Linked DNA regions of Arabidopsis thaliana. The protein of the gene in region 4 interacts with the protein of the main gene of each other region in a pairwise test. Each region holds a gene or a part of one and is shown on either strand. Other genes may lie near its edges. The genes, in order: HOS10, AT5G45580, AT1G47740 and HAM3.

The links.
Region 1: the proteins of HAM3 (region 4) and HOS10 interact in a two-hybrid assay, tested with the Arabidopsis thaliana proteins (one large-scale study listed by BioGRID).
Region 2: the proteins of HAM3 (region 4) and AT5G45580 interact in a two-hybrid assay, tested with the Arabidopsis thaliana proteins (one large-scale study listed by BioGRID).
Region 3: the proteins of HAM3 (region 4) and AT1G47740 interact in a two-hybrid assay, tested with the Arabidopsis thaliana proteins (one large-scale study listed by BioGRID).

What each region holds. Positions count from the first base shown.
Region 1 is NC_003070.9:13,076,100-13,080,856, forward strand, and holds HOS10 (high response to osmotic stress 10), read left to right. Parts: upstream 1-1,790; 5' UTR 1,791-1,826; coding exon 1,827-1,959; intron 1,960-2,038; coding exon 2,039-2,168; intron 2,169-2,316; exon of another isoform or gene 2,317-2,674; coding exon of another isoform or gene 2,675-2,830; intron 2,831-3,205; coding exon of another isoform or gene 3,206-3,282; exon of another isoform or gene 3,283-3,674; intron 3,675-3,790; coding exon 3,791-4,166; downstream 4,167-4,757. Other genes in the region: AT1G35516 (myb-like transcription factor family protein), read left to right, coding at 2,675-2,816, 3,206-3,282. UniProt on the Arabidopsis thaliana protein: Transcription activator.
Region 2 is NC_003076.8:18,480,237-18,484,850, forward strand, and holds AT5G45580 (Homeodomain-like superfamily protein), read right to left. Parts: upstream 2,773-4,614; 5' UTR 2,411-2,772; coding exon 2,269-2,410; intron 1,956-2,268; coding exon 1,879-1,955; exon of another isoform or gene 1,840-1,878; coding exon of another isoform or gene 1,786-1,839; coding exon 1,719-1,785; intron 1,570-1,718; coding exon 1,494-1,569; intron 1,410-1,493; coding exon 1,331-1,409; intron 1,258-1,330; coding exon 856-1,257; 3' UTR 573-855; downstream 1-572. Other genes in the region: AT5G45590 (Ribosomal protein L35), read right to left, coding at 4,407-4,496.
Region 3 is NC_003070.9:17,564,515-17,569,951, forward strand, and holds AT1G47740 (PPPDE putative thiol peptidase family protein), read left to right. Parts: upstream 1-1,996; 5' UTR 1,997-2,273; intron 2,274-2,286; exon of another isoform or gene 2,287-3,364; 5' UTR 3,365-3,388; coding exon 3,389-3,425; intron 3,426-3,522; coding exon 3,523-3,780; intron 3,781-3,900; coding exon 3,901-4,188; intron 4,189-4,264; coding exon 4,265-4,521; 3' UTR 4,522-4,783; downstream 4,784-5,437. Other genes in the region: AT1G47730 (F-box and associated interaction domains-containing protein), read right to left, coding at 1-592; PEX11A (peroxin 11A), read right to left, coding at 4,874-5,437.
Region 4 is NC_003075.7:56,599-61,537, forward strand, and holds HAM3 (GRAS family transcription factor), read right to left. Parts: upstream 2,898-4,939; 5' UTR 2,508-2,897; coding exon 831-2,507; 3' UTR 542-830; downstream 1-541. UniProt on the Arabidopsis thaliana protein: Probable transcription factor involved in plant development.

The DNA.
Region 1 (4,757 bases), on a different chromosome or scaffold from region 4:
ATTTAAAATTTTCTATTTTTATTTTGCAATATTTTCAGATTAATGTAAAATTGTGATTTCAGATATATGTATTTAAAATTTAATCATCAATAAATCTTTTAATTTCTACTTATCTTACATAAGTGGTAATCCATTACCAAGTGAAAGACTTAATTTTTATTATGGTTTTATATGTAAAGTAATGTTTAATTATGGTTTTAAAAATAATAAAACTACTTAATAATATAATTTGTAAAAATAATAATTGATATATTTAAAAATATTGTAGAGATATTAAATTTAATATATGAAAAATATAATAATATTTTAATATTAATAAGATACCTATAAGAGTATCTCACCAATGGAAGCACAATTTTAGTATAAGTTTCTCTACTTAAATTAAATATAAAAATATTAATAATATATTATGAGGTATTGATGTAGTATCTCACCAGTGGAGATGCTCTTAGGTTCGCACCTAATTTTAGAGTTTATTCTGATCTCAAGGGGCGCATACGTGGCCATATATTATTGGCTCTGTGTTTGACAAAACAATTTTTTTTCTCGCTTTTGGCCTTGTTTATTTTTTCATTTCACGATTAATTTTCTTTCTCTTCTCTTGTAAACTCCGGAGGCCGATCGTACGATTGGTGATTATCATCATCACGCGTCGTCTCTTAATAAGATAGTTTAGAGATTGTGTTCGTATCGATTCTTAAAACAGTTTTATAAGTTTCGTTTAACTGATGTTTCGGGCTCGTGGAATTAGGTTGTGCTTGCTCGTAACAGCAGGATAATTTACTGATACCGACATTGATCCCATTGCTTGGCTAGCACAGTTATAGGTGTGTTTTGTGTCTGGATATTATTTAGTAGTTAATTTTTAGATTAAACCAATGTTTCAATTTAGATATCACTAAATTTTTGTGTGATAACAAGTGATGTTGATAAAGATATGTGCACCTTCGTTTTTTGTTTCTAATAAATATGTTTGCAAACAGCCTGAGAGACTTTTTCAAAGGAATCGATTAGGTGTCTGTAGTGAAGCTTTGGCTGCAACTAGGCCTAGAGCTGCTTCAAGGGGTCGTGATATGGAGATAGAGCGTGACTTACTAACCAGGTCAATTTTTACTTGAAAGTGCTTTGAACAATTATAGAATCCATTTCATTGAAATTTCCTGATATGCATACTGATGTGATTTGCTAAACTGTTGCAGTCAGTTCTCTATTGTACGAGAGAATACAAGAGAAAAGTTAAACGTAAGTTCAATCTTGATGTTCTGCAGTTTCTGCTTTGCAGGGTATATGTGACAGGGTGGTTGTTAAGCCCCAAAAACTGTGAGGAAGCTTGCAAGAGTGCAACATCTATATTCTCAATTGGCAGGGAAACTCACGAAGGAAGATGATGAGGTTATATAATACTATTGGAATAGTTTTTACATTTCCAAGCTCTTTTTTTTCTTCGAATTAGCTTTAACCCTTTGTCAAATAAATAAATTAGCATATTTTGTCAAGTAAATATTTATCATATTTATTTTTTTAAGAAACCCACTTAAGGATTCACTAATGGACTAGAAAAAAGTTTAGGATTCAACAAGAACTTTAATTTCAAAAAAATTCAAAATTTATTAGTATAAAAATGTAAGGATTCCATTATTAGGACTCCTTAATGGACATGCTCTAAGGAAAGAAAGAAAAAGAAGGTAACCTACCAAATCTTTTTCACCCACAAAATACAAGATACATACACCAACTTGGTCAAAGTCACTTCCTTTTTATAACACCTCTCTTTAGATCCTAGTCTCACTCTTCTTGTCTCATCACCCACACATGTAACCATCATCATGGGAAGATCACCATGTTGTGAAAAGGCTCACATGAACAAAGGAGCATGGACTAAAGAAGAAGATCAACGTCTTATTGATTATATACGTAATCATGGTGAAGGCTCTTGGCGTTCTCTTCCTAAATCCGTTGGTAAATTTCTCCAAAGTTTTGATTTTTTTTCTTTCAAATTTTTATGTTTCTTGATCTGATGATTTTATCTTTTCTTTAGGGTTGTTGCGTTGTGGAAAAAGTTGTAGATTAAGATGGATTAATTACCTTCGTCCTGATCTTAAACGTGGAAATTTCACTGATGGTGAAGAGCAAATCATTGTCAAACTTCATAGTTTATTTGGCAACAAGTAATTTCCTTTCTCTTAATTATGATTTATGAACAAACCAGTTTTACTGTAAAAAAGTAAAACCAATGGTTAAACCGTGAAAGACTAAAAAAAATGAAGAATCGGGTTTTGGTCATTAGTCCGAACCGGTTCACTGGTTTAATCAGATTTTAAACCGGGTGTTGTGAGTCTTTTTAATACCGGTTTTTGGTGATAACTCAAATCGGATAGCTATTCGATTCACAGTCAAACTGGTTCAACCGGTTTGAAAACACTGGAGAAAACTAATCAAATGGTTTTCTCTTCAGTTTATAAAAATGAATAAATGTACAATTTGGTTTATATACAAGCAGATCCAGTATTGAGAAGATAGCATTCTATGCGTTTTGAATGGAAAAGAAGGTTTTGTAGGCTTCTCTCTCTCTTCTCTCATTTGCATCTTTTAGAGAGAGAAAGCATCTGATCTTCTTTTTCCGGCAACAATAGCTTCTTTAGTGTTTGTTGGCCAGTTCTCTGTCCAGAATCTTATGGCTTTTCCAGCATGGATGTCTGGCTTTTGTCCGGCGATGTTTAGGGCAACGTTTGATTGTCGTGGTTCTTCTGACACTGTTCGGTTCTTTACGACGATGGTCGGTTTGCGTTTGGCTTCCATTGGCTTCTTTAGCGGCGGTAGGCTAGCTAAGGTCTAGAGTTTCACCGCCTATCTTCGGTGTTTCGTCTACCTTTTGGCCGGATTGATTCCGGTTTAGATTTATGTTTTCTTCTCTCGATTTCTTTATATTCAGTTTGATTGAGCTCTTTTGCGTTTCATTGTTAGATCTGGCATATAATTCCTTGAACCTCCTTTGTTTAAAGGGATTAATTTGTTTTCCACGCTTATCGATTTCATTTTTTGAGAACAAATTAAGATGCGGATTAAGGTTTTTTATGCTTATGGGTTGAAACTATTGCAATTGTGGCTGTTTCTCTAACTGATCTATGGAGACGAGTGCTTTTTTGTTCTTTTTTAAGGTGTTGCTGAAAGCTCCATCGGCTTACTCTACGTCGATGTTCTTTAGATTTCAGGAATCAATTGCCTTTGGGAGATCTTTCCTTTCCAAATTTGCTAATGAAGTTTGGTGGATTCTCTAATTAAAAATCAATGGACTTCTCTTGAAGCTCCGGCGGTTTCCGGTGGTTTTAGAGTTCCCTGAGTTGCTAACCAGAACGGTGGTGAATGGCGACAACTAAGGCTTCTTCAGTCAACGTGTTTCAACTTTGTTTGTTAACATCACACGTGGCTTTGTGGTGGAAGGGAATCTTTAATTTACTTCCTCTAAAGGTTTTGTTTCCTGGTTTGGGCTTTCTTTATGGGCCTCTGCTTATAAGTTAGACTTGTTGGTTTTTTATGTAATATGGATGACTATATTTTAGTTGATCCAATGTTGTAAGGTTTAATATGTGTCAAGATTTGTAAGTGGAAGGTTCCACAGTTGTATCTTTACAACATAAGGTTTTAAATAAAGTGCAACACTTATGAGAAAAAAATAATAAAAATACAAGCAGATCCAATTTGACAAAACCAAATAAATAACCGGTTTAATATACCCAAATGACCAAGTTTTAAACCAATGTTCCTTACATTTCGAATGTCTTTTTTTCAGATGGTCTTTGATTGCTGGGAAATTACCGGGAAGAACCGATAATGAGATTAAAAATTATTGGAACACTCATATAAAAAGGAAGCTTCTTAACCGTGGTATTGACCCAAAAACTCACGGTTCGATCATCGAGCCTAAAACGACATCGTTTCATCCCCGAAATGAAGATTTGAAGTCCACGTTTCCCGGTTCTGTTAAACTAAAGATGGAGACTTCTTGTGAAAACTGTGCTTCTACGAGCGGTACGACTACGGACGAGGATTTACGGTTAAGTGTTGATTGTGATTACAGATATGATCATCTGGACAAGGAGCTAAACTTGGACCTAACACTCGGGTACAGTCCGACTCGATTTGTCGGGGTCGGATCTTGTTACTAGCTCGTGTGACGTTTGTGTTTGTAAATTGGGATCACATATGAACCTTGTATGAATTGCTAAACGGGTTCTTTTAATGATAATAAATCTCATAACAAGTTATGTCTTTTTGGAGTTGTGTGCACCAAAGATATTATTTAGGGTTTGATTGGTAACATTGCGTTTAATAATATAGTTGAATAATACAAATTTGCAAAATAAAACTCGCAAAATAACAGTGTATACATATATAATGATATTTACATATATATATTTTTACAGTTATTTTGTGAAATAAATTCTGTAGTTTGGACTTATTTACAAGAAAAGCCACATGTATTTACAAGAAAATTACAATCTTTCCATATATATTCAAAAACAAAATCTGTGAATTTTATTCCACAAAATATGCATAAATCCGATTTATAGCAAATATGTATATTAACATTTTCTATAGCAATAAAAATACTAATTTATAATAATTAAAATATTCACACAAAAGTCATATACACATACAAGAAAAAGAACTAAATCTATCATCATTTAAGCCGTTGCTTTATTTAAATAAAAAAACACAAAAACTTGAAATCATATACTTTATATGATAAATTTAAA
Region 2 (4,614 bases), on a different chromosome or scaffold from region 4:
GGTGCAAATAGAAAATCTGTTGCCGCCATAAAGAAAAATCTGTGGTCCGAAAAACAAATCAGTGACAGATTTGGTTTCAACATTCTTACTTTTGAAATTTAAATAAAATCTGTGGAGACTATATGAAACAAATTAGTCACGGTTAAAAAATCTGCGAAAAAAAAAAAATCTGGCGTAACATAACACAGGAAAGTCTGGGGTACAAAACAAGTCTGTTGTAAAAAATCTGTGGTTGACCAACAAATCTGTGATCGATAACAAATCCGTCGCAACAAGAGCCACAGATTTATCAAAAACGACGATGGCATTTTCGTAAATAAATGTGGTTTTATTGCCTTGCTGGAATTAAATAGTAATGGCATTTCTGTAATATTGTTTTTCTCTGCAAAGGAAAACAAGGATAATTTAGGTATAATTATTACTCAAATAACTCATATTTTTAGCATTCCTTTTGGGTCTTTATGTATAAAATATGGGTTACTCTATTAAATTTCCCTTATTTTTAACTGAGAAAATCAATCATGAGAATCAAATCTCATCTTTGTTTGATCCTCATTTTTTAGAAAGAGACAATTAGATGCATAGACATATTTTTGAAAAGAATTAAGAAACAAGCAAATAGGTTTTGAATTTTGCAGAACAAGCGAGAGAAGATGCTACACTTTATTATTCACAAAAATAACTTATTTAGTTAAACCCAATTATTCCGTATTTAGCTGATATCAACTACTTTGGACTTCAAATATGTTCTTGATATTTGACTGAGAAACCATGAAGCCAAATTTGTAACATTCTATAAGAAATGTAAAGAAATAATAAAATAAAATAAAAAATTAAAGAAAGTGTCTCTTTAACCTATTGAAGTCTATCTCCAATCACATTTGGCTTCACTTCAATCCCATATTTCCCACAATTCAAGAGATCATACCCACTTTTGGAGTTCAAATCAAAATGCACAAACCCGGATTCTGGTTTAACACATGCATCTCCGGTTTCTATTTTCTCTTGTTCTCCACATAACCGAAACTCTTGAGAGGAATCACCACCATTAAGGTGTGAGATATCAGTAACCAAACCCGCCTTCTCGTTCTTACGATCACTTCCTACAAGTCCCGAAAGTGCGAGATTGAAATCCGAGAATTGACCCTTGTCTGTTTCCCCTGCATTACCACAAGGTAAGCTCTTCTGTGCTTTCTCTAGTAATGTCAACAAATATTTTCCTTGTGCCTCCATTCTCATCTGCAGTTTTTTCTGCACCTATAACACCGCAAAAACTTCGGTTTAAAACTTTTATTCATTGTTGTGAGAGAAGAAAGAAGAGATTTGTTACCTCGAGTTGTTCTTGAAACCGTTGTTGCGCATCGACCTGATGTCTCATTGCCTCAGCAAAAGGTACATTCCCGCTTTGTCTACGTGTGTTCATTAACATTATGTCAAACTCAAGCTTTACAAATCCATTATGTCGAGAGAAGGCAAATTCATATATAATATACCTTTGATGGTTATCAAATCTTGAATCATTGGAGATTCCTCCTTGAGAACAATTGTCGAAATGCACATATGAACTTCCTGTGAATACAAAAATCAATCAATCTTTGGTTTCTCAAATGTTATCTACATTAATATTCCTTAAATACATCATATGTATATATATATTATACTCTACTATAAGCTGAATTATATATAAATCTTGAATTCTTGATAATAATCATACATACCAGCATTTTCTTTGTTTTGTTCTGTTCTATTTTGTTTTTTGCCTTGTTGTTGACCAAGTCTATACTTCTGCATATAGAAACACATCATAAGAGAGAATATAAACCAACAATTTGTAGACATTATACATTATTATATACTCAAATTTGTATAAATTTGGACCTGTAAATGGCTCTTGAGATGGTACAGTGTTAAACCTTTTAATCCCATCAGCTTCAGAACCGATTTAGGAGTTGCTTCTACAAAACCAAACCAATAACAAATGTCACTAAGCAAACAGATATAATTACATTTGTAACCTATTAAATTTGAAGTTATCAAGCTACATAGAGAAGAATCAATTGAATCACTGGCATTAACTTAACCAACCAAACCGAAGTGAACCGGAATCATAATGTGAAACCGGTTATCTCAATTGAAGAATAAGAAAGAGTAAAAGAGCTATAATGTTGTTACACAGATACATCAACTGTAGATTTAACCGGACTGAACCGGAATTATAAAGTGAAACCGGTTATCACAATTGAAGAAGAGGAGGAAAGAGGAGCTTACTGTCAGCGCCACCGAGCTTAGCGACGGCGTCGACGAAGCGATCATGAAGATCGGCTGTCCATCTGAGCCTAGGTTTGGGATCTCTAGTCATCATAACTCCGCCATTATCGTAACCTAAACCTCCGAGATTCACTCTTTCCATTTAATTTTCCGATCAAACAAAATAATGGCGGGAAACTCAGTCGGAAGAATGAATCAAATAACTTCGAAATTTTCCTCTTCTCAAGGATGTGATCGGAAAGAGGAAGCGTAAACTCAAAAAAAGGAAAAATGGCAATCGAACTACGAAATATTGGTCGGAAAGAAAGTGGAAGAAATTTTGTTAAAGATGGGAATGCGAGTGATTAGGGTAAAGAGATAATCGGCGACGAGAGGACGAGATAAATAGAAAGAAGTGTGATGATTGATGGAGAAAAAGAGATCAGAAAACTTTTTGAGGAAAATCTCAGAGAGAGAGAAAGGGAACTTAAAAAAGTCGTCGCGGTGATGATGATGATGGAGGAGGAGAAGTGGTGACATTATTCGTGACTTAACGTCAACCTTCGGTTAATATAGTATTATTATAATATATGTATAATACAAATTATGGATCCAACACTAAAAGTTTGTTTATATACAAAAACAAATTGTATCCATATCGAAATATTATGATAATAAAAAAGAAAATAGTAATTATTAACGTTTTTTATATCGATTTTGTGAATAGTATGAAAGCAAAACATAGCAAAATTTTATTGTATTATGACTGATTAGTGATTTATTGCATACAAACGCAATTACCAACCGCATATTACTTGCGTTTTTAATTGTGTCTATGAGATGCTAGACCGTGTATATGTCATGTTGTAGAATAAAATATATACATGATTGCGTACTTTTTTTTTTCTTTTTGTAATCAATCAAGAGGTATTTGTATATTCAGAATCGTAACATGGGAGAGAGGAACATGGCCCGCATCATGGATATTTGTTTACTATACCTAGATTATTAATGTCCAAAGAATATATAGTTTCTAGGAATTATCATTTTTATCATTTGAATAATTTATATGTTAGATTTATGTGTTTTTAAATCAGATAACTTATGACTAAAGGTTTTGTCTCATTCTCATACAATCCATGAATCAAAATCTCTCTCCATGTTGTTCCTTTATTTAGGTATCATATAAATTTATCATTCATATGTTGTCGGATAGTCTCAATTTGAGATAGAAGAAGAAAATAAACATAGAAAATGTTTCGACCAAATTACTAAATTAGTAATTTGTTATTACACATTCCACATTACACATAAATCAATTCCGAATAATCAAATAAAATGAAATTCATTTTTTTTTTGATAAAAGATTTGATGAAATTCATTGTTGTATTGTGACCTTTTAAAAATTGTTTTAAAAAAAAAACAAATCGTTGTATTCGGCGACGATCAATACATGATGAGTGATGAGCGGTGTCAAATTCCGACAAGAGCGACATAAAACCTTTTTTTGTATTTTTTTAAAAACAATAACAATAATAATTCAATGGTTTTAAAAAGGAATTTATATGACGAAAACAAAGTGCATGGGGCGAGCATGTCACGTAGACTGCCAGCGTGGAATATTCGCCGTCGGACAAGGAAAATACAATAATCTGAAACTCACATGTTCGACGGTGGGGGTTTAATGGTATTTCAACATAGGACACGTGGACGGCTTTGTTACTCTTTTGTCTTTTACGTTTGTTGAAATTGAGACCCACAAGAAATACACACGTGGAACCAAGGCCGCTTCGTTCGACCGCAATCGTTTTGTCCTAACCAAACATGAGAATGGGTGTATTTTTCAATCCAAAGCTCGGTTTACACCGGTACAATCTGACTAAACCGAAATATCATATAACCGGACCGACTCGGGAAACAAAGTTTCTTCTGGTTTAGCTGGAAAATGTACTTGAGAAAAAATCATAAGCCTAACTTGTTTCTCTTTTCAAAACCGATCAGTCTTAACGCCAATTTCACCATATTTCGAAAACTCAATTTATTCCAATGAAGTTAAACTGAAACATAAAGATTTTTTGAGTACCAGTGAGCAAAATTATCTGGTAAAAACTGGAAGAGACTGGCTTTCATCGTAATCATACTGTTTCATGCTCTATCTCTCAATTGCAGAAATTGAGTTTCTTCATGACTTTCGCATATGCTGGTGGTACTAGTCCAGGTTGTCTCAATCTACGCTTCGATTTCTTTGACTGCATCAATTAACAAAACAAATTCTTTACACTCAACATTTCTCAACCTGACTCAGAAATCTTACACAATGATGAAACCCCGAAGAGGTCCAACAACAGAGATGGTATTGTAAAATAC
Region 3 (5,437 bases), on a different chromosome or scaffold from region 4:
ATTCTTGATCTGATCCCAATGTTAACACCCGACACTCATAAAAAGCATTACCATACGGCATGCACACTACTTTGTGTTTACCATCAACTGGATCGTACCCTAAAGAGACTTTTATATTCTTCCACCTCTCATCCAGCTTGCGTAAAGGTTTGAACTTTCTCATAGTAGGGTTCCAAATTATAGGGGTTGCTGCTTTTCGAAAGCAGATCAAGCCGTGGACCGACTCGGTTAAAGTGGTGACGCAACAACGTTTTGGATAGGTTGTATGGTAACTATCAATAATCTCAGAAGAAGAATAAGAATAAGACTCGTTCGGATTCTGATTGTGTTGAGGAATCGTGAAAACAAAGAACTTGTCACCTTCTTTGAAAAAGAACATGAGATTCGGCCGAGTTTCAAAGGAGTTGGTGAAATATGGAGCGGTGGTGATTGATGACCAAAGCTTTGAAACACAACGAAACCTCACGACAGACTTCGCAGGCAGCCTTGAGAATATCTCCGAGGTTAGATCGAGAGGTAAGGATGATGATGAAGATTTTCCTCTGCTTCTTTTTCTCTGGATATTTTCGGTCTTCTCTTCTCTTTGCTCCATCTTGGAGAAAACCCTAAGTCGGTACTTCCTTTCCACGATTTATGCTTATATGTCTCAACTTTTTCCTTTTCCACTAAATTGGAAAAGGAAAAAATGCTTATAGGTGTTAAACTTCCATTTCCTAAACATCTAGACCGAGATAAAAAAAAATAGGCTCTATCTGACGTGATGTCAATACTTCTTGGAGGGAAATCGACTGTTTTCCCACTAAATTTAATCGTAAAAGATGTACAAAGAAAGACTTAAAATACCAAGACTCTTAACCAGAGTTGATAACAAAACTATACATAAAGCACTAAACCAACTAAACTAATCTAGTGATATTTAATAATATACAAAATTTATACTGGTGTGAGAAATAAATAGATTTTTTTAATAATATTTGAATTGTAATAGTAATCTACATTTTTTCTTTCATTTAATATAAAGAATTTTTGAACAAAAATTCAAATTTAACACATTCTATTTTGCAATATAATTTAACTATTCATTTCATGATAATAAACTGGATATTAATTTTATACACGTCATTAATGAATAATAACAAAACATTTTAGTTATACACACGCTCTATCTTATTGTGTCTAGTTTTACTTTTGATATTTAATTTTTAAATAATAACCCACACACTTTCAATCTTAAATGTTCTAACTCTTATCTCTAAATATTCTTAAATCACTTTTTTTTTTTAATTTAGGAAAGATAAAAAAAGAGGAATGATTGTCGTAGATTCATTTATCTTAATCTTCATGAGTATCTTATCCACTAACCGCGAGTAAGTTATCTCCTCTATTGATGATGTCCTAAACGATATACCATACAAACCAACTATTTTTGAATTTCATTGATATGCATCTCCGGTTTTTGAATAATATCCATCATAATCAAAATATATGTTTATTGGAAGGTTGCTCATTCTCCTGAAAAGAAAATATTAGTTGTTATTTCAAAAATATCAGTTGTACCATATATACTACTTCAAACAGTTATATCAGATTCATAAATGGAGAGTGAGGAGGTCCTAAAATTATCGTTCTTCCAAATCAAAAATTATTATTTATTAGAGTAAAAAGTTGCGCTAAAGGAATTTCTTATCTTGATTCTTTTACATAAAGTATGCTCTGTTAGAAAAAAAAAGAATTCAAAGACGTCAGAAATCAAAATATTCCCAAAAAATAATGGTTTTAGATCTCTCCAATCAACTAATTGAACCAACATCAAAATTTTAAAATACGCGAATAGTATATCAATGCTGTGTATCAAAATCTCATAATCCAAAATACTCTATCCAAACTCGAAGAGAATACACCCATATAACCATATCAATAGAGAATAATACAAAAACTGATTTAAAAGCGTTTTGTAGCGAAACACAATTTTAACCATCCCAAAAGCCTTTTTGGTACTGTTACCAGAGTAAGAGACGATAAAATACAAACAAAAACAAAACATGCAACCAAAAAAAATAAAAAAGAAGAGACAAAGGGGAGAGAGAGAAAAGAAGAGCGAACAAATTCCTTCTTTTTCCCCTCTTTCTCTCTCTCTCCCACTCTCTCATCTTCTTCTTCTTATGATTTTCAACTTATTACAACAACAACAACAACAAAATAATCTTGCAAAGTTTCAGTCTCAGGTGGTTCACAGTTAATGCTACTTGCAATGATGAATCCATCCCAATTTCGTAAGTTAATCTTCTCTTCTGAAAATTGAATTTGGTGTATCAATTCTTACATTATCTTGAAGATTCATCTCTGAATTTCTCAAATTTATGGGGGTTTTTTGTTTGTCGGAATTGCCGGAGAAATTGGAAAAAACGAGATCTTTGAGTAAAGGGTTTGTTTAATCTTTAGTCTTTATTGCTTTCCTTAAGCTAATTTTGGCAGATCTGGAACATAAACCCTAGAACAAGACCAAATCAGTGTCTCCTTACTCTTAGGGATTTTAGTCTCTGTGATACCTTAAATGTGTTTATAAATTGACTGTGCTTAATGGGTCACATTTGATTTGCAATAAAAGTTTCACAATTCTTCCATTTTCAGTAATGTAAGCTCCAGTTTTCAAGATTTACTATTTTGGGGAACTAGTTAGGTTTGTAGGTTTATTAGATCTTAGAAACACTAATGTAATGCTGTTTGTTTGGTACTCTTTAATATTCACTATTCATCTTAATGTGGAATCAAATTTGCTTTTTTTGGTCAGACTCAATTAGTTGGAATGAGTTGTTGAACCATTGACTTGTCTCCTAAGCTCTTACTTAATCTATCTGTATCATCTTCTCCTGTCTATTTCTCTTTATTTAATACATAACTCGTTCATGATTGCATCTGACATGGTAGCAACTCTTTGTGAACAAGACTTGATTTTATAACACTGTAACATGACCACACTTTTTCCTTTTGATCTCTGTATATTTGGGGAAGTAAGGATTTGGTTTAACAATGATACAAAATCACAGTTTAGATGACTCAGTCTTGTCTTTTATCATTAAGATGGAAAAAATGAGACCAATCTTGTCTTGCTTTATTCTAAGATGCATGCTCTATTATATTTTATGCTTTTGTATATATAACTGATTGAAGCCGGCCAATGGAGATTGGTGCTGACTTTTTAAATGAGCTGTTGTTGTATTTCAGCCAACTAGCATAAGATAAAATAAAATAGGAAAATTTTTCATTTCAGTCTCTTAAGTTCAATGAAAACATAATGTGGCACAGAGGTCTTTGCTTTTGTACCTTTCAGAATCTTTTATTGATTGATGATGTTTACATACAGGATAACCTCTACTGAGGCATCCAAATGTTGAACGGAAAAGAAGAGCCTAAGCAGAAGAAAGGTAAGGTTTTGATTTGACATTTGTGTGATTAATGTACTAATTAGAGATCATAATGTGTTTGCTACTTTTCTTATGTGGCTCGGTTCTTCATCGGCAGGTTGGTCAGAGTCGCTGCTAGAATTTCGGTCAGGGTTTGGGGAAAAGATGAAAGTTGTGTCGAAGAAACGTTGGAAATCTCTTGGTCCTCTTCATCTGAAAAGCAAATCAGTTGCACGGTTTTGCTTCTTTTCGAAGTTGAAGTCAAACAACCATGGTCCAGGCCGTGCACCAGTGTATCTCAATGTTTATGACTTGACTCCTATTAACGGATATATCTATTGGGCAGGCCTTGGTATATTTCACTCTGGTGTAGAAGGTAAGCTTTAGGCGCTCGCTTGTGTTTTCTTGTTCATATGGTTGAAGTATCCAAAGATTTGCATCTCTGGTGTACTTATAGTTACTGCTATAGCTAACTCTGAACATTTGGCGTTTACAGTTCATGGAGTAGAGTATGCTTTTGGTGCCCATGATTATGCAACGAGTGGTGTTTTTGAGGTTGAACCAAGGCAATGCCCGGGCTTCAAGTTCAAGAAATCGATATTCATTGGAACCACGAATTTAAACCCAACACAAGTGAGAGAGTTTATGGAAGACATGGCTTGCAGTTACTACGGGAATATGTATCACTTGATTGTTAAGAACTGCAACCATTTCTGCCAGGACGTTTGCTACAAGCTTACCGGGAAAAAGATCCCAAAATGGGTGAATCGGCTTGCACAAATAGGTAACAAATGTTTGTTGCATTTGAGAATTGTTGAAGAAGTCTTATTTGAAAGACTAATTTACTTTTTTTTCTGCAGGTTCTGTGTGCAGCTGCATACTTCCCGAGTCCCTCAAGATAACAGCGGTCTGCCACGATCCAGACGGGCAAATCCCGGAGGAAGAAAACGAAAAGAGAAGTCTTAGAAGCTCATTCAGCTGTTTATCATCCATCTCCATGAGACAAAAACAGCTTTCAACATCATCATTGTTCCTACAATCACCTCTCAGAGGCTGCTTACCTCCTTGGCAACTCAAACGCTCAAAATCTAACAGCAGCTCCTTGAAAGAAAGGTAGACATTCCAACAAAAACCATTGCGGTCTCTCATTCGTTTCGTTAGCAACACAAACCACGATTTATCCTTCTTCTATCTTTGTAATGGAGTTCGAAAACAGATTTCCCGCGCCATCGCTTTTCATTTGATTTTAACAGGCTTTCATAAGCCATTCTTCATCTTCTTTCTGTTTGTATTGCTTCCAAATTTGAATCTTTTCTCATTTTCAAAATCATGTATTGCATCAACGCTGTTTATATCTAAACTAGCTCTCTTAGTTCAAACCACCGAAGAATCAAAACGAAACCTTTATTCGATAAGCAAATACTATAATTCAATCGAAAAACGAACGATGAACATCATCATCATGATCATCAACAAGAGATCCAGTTCTTATGAGTACTAACAATAGCAGAAAACAAACCTGCAGAAGATATCACATTAGGAGCCGATAACACTCCCTTACCATCACGAATATCAGCAATCGTCATCAAACCATCAGCAAGATCCTGCAAAATAGATAAAACCTTCAATGTCTTCTTCTCCTTAATCATCTTCATCTTCTCATCTTCACCATCACAAGCTAATCCTCTCGAAACCGAGATCTCGATCGTCGAAGCAACACAACTCTCTTCATCATTCAATTTCCTCAAATCCCTAATCTTAATCGAAACACTTCCTACATAACCAACCAATTCAGCCCAAGCACTAATCTTCTGAAGCCATTTCGAATGTTTCGCATCGATCAGTCCTGATTTCGTTAACCATATGAATTGTTCAACGAAATAGTATAATCCTTCACCACCGTACGCGATTATGAGTAAGACGAGCTCGTGATTTGAATCCCATCGTGAGGATCTTAATGCGTTGATGTCTTGTACGAATTTTCCGAGACGGAAGGCTTTGCGACTGACTCCGACGCTTGATTCGAAGCTTTT
Region 4 (4,939 bases):
CTTTTGTAATGCTTAATTAGGACCTTAGATGTTTGAATATATATTTTAAATAATTATCCTAAATGATGTTTTAATATAAAGAGTAAACCAAAATATGTTGGTTTGTATTACTTAGATTAGCTTGTAATCTTTTTATTGAAATGAAATCTTCACATTAAAACCCCAAAAAAAACATGTTGATGTATTGTATACACTTGGTTTGTTTCTGAAATATTTCTATAGAGAAATGCAGTTAATGCGTAAAGCAAATGGGCGCATTATATATGTAATGCGTATGGACCATTTAAAGGAGAAAAAGCAAACCTTTGTTTCGTCGGAGAAAAAAAAAGGTTAGAAACGGCGCACACAAAAATGTATTGTGGTCCAAATAAATAAAATAATACAAGACCCATGTGACATCATGGAGACATATGTTTATAAATTAAAAATAGACCCCTCGCAAAGACACAAACCACAACAAACTCTAACCATTATATAATCATATAATCACAATAATGAGCAGTAGCTTTCTGCCTCGCATCAAAATCAACACCCCATTCATTTTTAATTAGAAAAATATAGTATTGAGCTAATCCAAGCATTATTCTATCACGTTATTTAGTCGATCAAAAATAATCCCCACAATTAATATATATTGAATGTGTTATACAATAAGTGTTTGATAATCAGACAATTAATTAACTTCTCACAAAAATTTATATATTTGTGTGAAACTTAAATTTAAAAATCCATCGCACTGAGCAAAATAAAATCAGAAACTAAAAATTTGTCATTTAAGATAAATTGAATTAAGGAAAATATTTTTTTAATAATTGAAACTCCGGTGGAAATCAGGAGGAGCGACATCTCCATGCTGAAACTCCGACGAGTTCTGTCCTTTGCCAACATAGGAGAAGTGAGTTATGTTTCTTCTCGACGTGAAAGCCTCTCACTGGCGTCCGTTGGACTAAACACTCGGCTTGAGACTCCGTGAAGTTACTGTGCGTCACCGGTGAGAAACCCATCTGTAGAAACATCGCTTGCCACGTCATCATCGGCCTTTCTATCGGACGGCTACGATCCAACACCAGCTTCTCTATCTCCGGCTGTATAAGAAACCTCTCGATCTTCTGCATTGCGTCGAGGTTGGCGTTGACGGCGTCGAGGGATTCGAAGAGAGCGGTGTGTGAGTGCAGCGAGTGGGCGAGCTGTTGAGAGAAGGGCAGATCCGTCCTCTCGCATCCTCTGTCGGAGCAGACGATGATCGTCGGAGATAGATGCTTCACGAAACGGAGGACCAAAGGGAGGTGCGAGAAGGACGCGGCGGAGATGTTAACGGCGACAGCTTCTTTCTCCGACGAGTTAGGCCACGAGATGGAGCCGAGGAGGTCTAAGCTCAAAACTTGGATGTCAAGGGAGATGTTGATCTCAGAGGCGAAGTGCTTGAGGTTGTCTTGAGTGAAGCCAAGTTCGAGCTGGTCGTGGTTCGCCGGAGAAGCGAAAACGGTGATCTTGAGGGAGAGAGGAGCGGCGTTGTCGCGGAGAACAAGCTCTTGCATGAGGGAAGCCCATTGGCCACCGTAGCCGATATCGAAGTCGATGATGTGGAGACGGTGGAAGCCATGGAAGGACTCTAAGAGGGCTTGGTTGGAGGTAAAGTTGGCGAACTGAAGAACGGGAGAGATCTCTGAGAAGGATTTGTAAGCAGCGATCTTGAAGATGAGGGAATAAGGGTTTAGGGTTTGGGAGACGTTGTGAAGGAGATTATTGAGAGCTTCTTTGAAGTAAAAAGCTGCTCTTTCTAATGGCTTCCCGACGGGAGAAGAGAGCTGTTGATTGAGCCGCGCCAATATCCCCTGAGCTAGACACGTGTCGCTCTCTATGACCTCTGCTGCCTTAACCAGCTGCTCTGTTATCCCCACGGGACCAGGGTTGAGCCGCTTTGCCGGCGGAGGTGTATGGTGGTGGTGGCCGTAGAAGATAGCCGCAGGATTCTGTGTGTAGTGGGTTTGACTTTGGTTGATCAGAAGACCGGAAACATGTGACGGCGGAACAGAGTGGTGGTCTAAACCGAAGCCGGTGTCGACGACTCCGAAACCGGGTGATGAGTAGTCAGAGTCGTGGAAGGTGGGAGATGTTTGGAGAATGCTGTTGAGTTCAAGAGAGGGATCTGTGGAATCTCCCATGATGAGTCCGAGAATGCTCTGTTCGTGGTCATGAGGAACTTGCTCCTCCCAATCACCCAACCCAATGGCTCCGCATTGCTCATCGGTGGTGGCGTCGCCGCCGCCTCCGACGGCGCTGTTTCCGCCGTGAGAGGAAGACACCGTGGAGGAAGAGGTTGGGCTTATGAGGGAGTCCAGAACAGAGGTAGGCTCCGCCGCGGGAACTTCTTCCTCTTCTTCTTCGCCGCCTCTTGCTTTGCGGTGGCTCAAAAGCGGAGACGACGGTGGTTGGGGGAAGGAAGACGAGAAAGAAGAGAAACAAGAAATCCCCTTCCCTTGAAACTCTTCAAAGGGTAAGGGCATTGCAGACGATAAAAAATAGTGTATTTGTCTTCTTGAAGCTCTTCTTCTTCTTCTTCTTCTTCGTTGTTGTGATGTGGTGTGGTGAGGTATATTGGATGCGTGCAAGATATTAAAGTGGCAAAGTGGGCTTCCTCCTTTCTTTTTCTCTCTTATTTCCGTTTCCTATCATTTTGCCTTTGTCATTAACTTAGCTGATTAAACAATTCATCAGCTTCTCTTACACAACATTTTGTTAATCTTTGCTTTCTAATCTTAACTATGTCTTCTATTACAACCCCACTCTTACATCACGCGCGTGGCTTGCAAACTCCTTTCAGTGACATGAACATGATGGTAAACAAAAATACTAAATGTTATGATATATTTTTAAATATTGTATTTGTCTTCTTGAATTACTAGAAACTATTAAAAAAAAAAAACATTTTCCCCATATTTTTGATGTTGTACTGTATATTTAGATGTCATAATACTTGCCCAAAAAAAAAAAAGGATGTCATAATATATTGGGAATGTTTTTGTTTTCTTATAATTTATTTTCATGATTAAAACTTTGTGGCTTGCAAACTATATTTGGGATATTGTTTTGTTTTGTTTTATCTCAAAGGTGCTGTCGTTATTTCCTTTTGTGTGATCTTTGTCCCCAATAGTTTGTTTTAGGGTTTGGACAAGCTTTTGGATCATCTTTATCAAATTAACCACTCAAATCACCCAATCCATTGTACGAGCTAAACCACATATTGCAGTGCTTATATTAATTTGTGTTTCCTTTTTTTTTTTTTTTTTGCTACGGACATAATCTAAATTTATAAATCTAAACAAAGTGGAAACAAAAACTATGTATATATTGGAGTTACATCAAAAATATCTGTTTTGTTTTTCTTGTTTTAACTTAACGAGATACGAATGATCGTCATTATCTGAAACATTCATGTACTACTTATAACAAAGAAGGAGTTATATATATATTTACGTGTATATAAAAACATACTTTCTTTGGTACATCTTTTCGTTTGAAGGAAAAAAGTGATTGAAGATCTGTGAATGATGTTTCTTCTGTGACAAGTTAAATGCACGAGAGATTGAGAAAGAACGAGTGGTAGTCCTTTATTGAGCAGACAATGGAAGTCACCAATCACCATATATATACATATATAAATATATCTACCAATGGAAAACCCTATAATAAATAAATGAATAAAGCAATCAGAAAAAACAACAAGAAAGAGAGGTGGGTAATTGATGAAGACAGATTAAAATCGGACCAATTTTGCAATGAATGGCGACAGTTTCATTATCATGTATTCATGATAATGAAAAAGCATTTACTTTTCTATGCAAACCAATTCATTAGTATAAACAATATCAAAGAAAAAAAAAAAAGTATAAACAATATCAGATTCTGAATCTATCTTTTATATGCGAATTATGACCGCACAAAAAAACACAGAGTTCAGTTTCTTGTATAGTAATTTTTAGTCCCATATTATAATACTTGTTAAGTACCATAAATATTTGATGATTATTGATAGTTAACTTACTTTATATAACAACAAAAAGTTAAAATGTTCATTTTTAAGATTTAATTAGTTTATATGTTCCCATGTGATTTGCTAACAACTACTTCTCACACTTTTCTTTCTTATACAAAATTATTATAAATCTTGAAATGATCGCGAAACTGTATTAATATTATTTCTTATTGACATACATAATACACCAACACATTTTCAAGTTTCATGATATATTAATATAATATTTGGTATATTGGAATACTAAATATATGTGTGTGTTAACTTCGTGAGGGTGAAGTAAGTTACGTGGTGAAAACATGTTCTTTTCTCTCGTCTCAAGGCACCCTTCATCACAAGCAACACACCCAACCCCACTCAATCGGATAGTTCGTATGATGAACAGAATCGTGCTTTGCCATAATTAGAGGAAGAAACAAGTCAGCTAAATATATTAATCTTGTCAAACAATAATTTATATTGAAGGATAACGTGTTAGAGTTTGTATGCATGTAACCATATATAAATGATTGCGTCGTTCATTTTGTATTAGATTTTAGGATGATGATTAGTTAGATTAGACAAAAATTGATCAATTATTATTAGGAGATCACATGGGACTGATAAGGATAAAGAAAAATAGAGAAGATTTCTTCATCTCATTAGAGCCAAAGTAATAATAATTATGATTAAAAAAAAAAAACCAAGATCGGCGGGAAGTAATTAACAATTACCACAATATAAAGTTGGTAAAGGAATTTCCTTATTTCTTTAATCATATACATTTCCTTAAACATAATCTAACTCTCATTTGATCATTGACAACACATTACTATGATTCGACAACAACAACAAAAAAAAAAAAAAAAATTACTATGATCGAATGACACTCCAAAATACAGAAGTCTCTTAGAGCATTTCTAA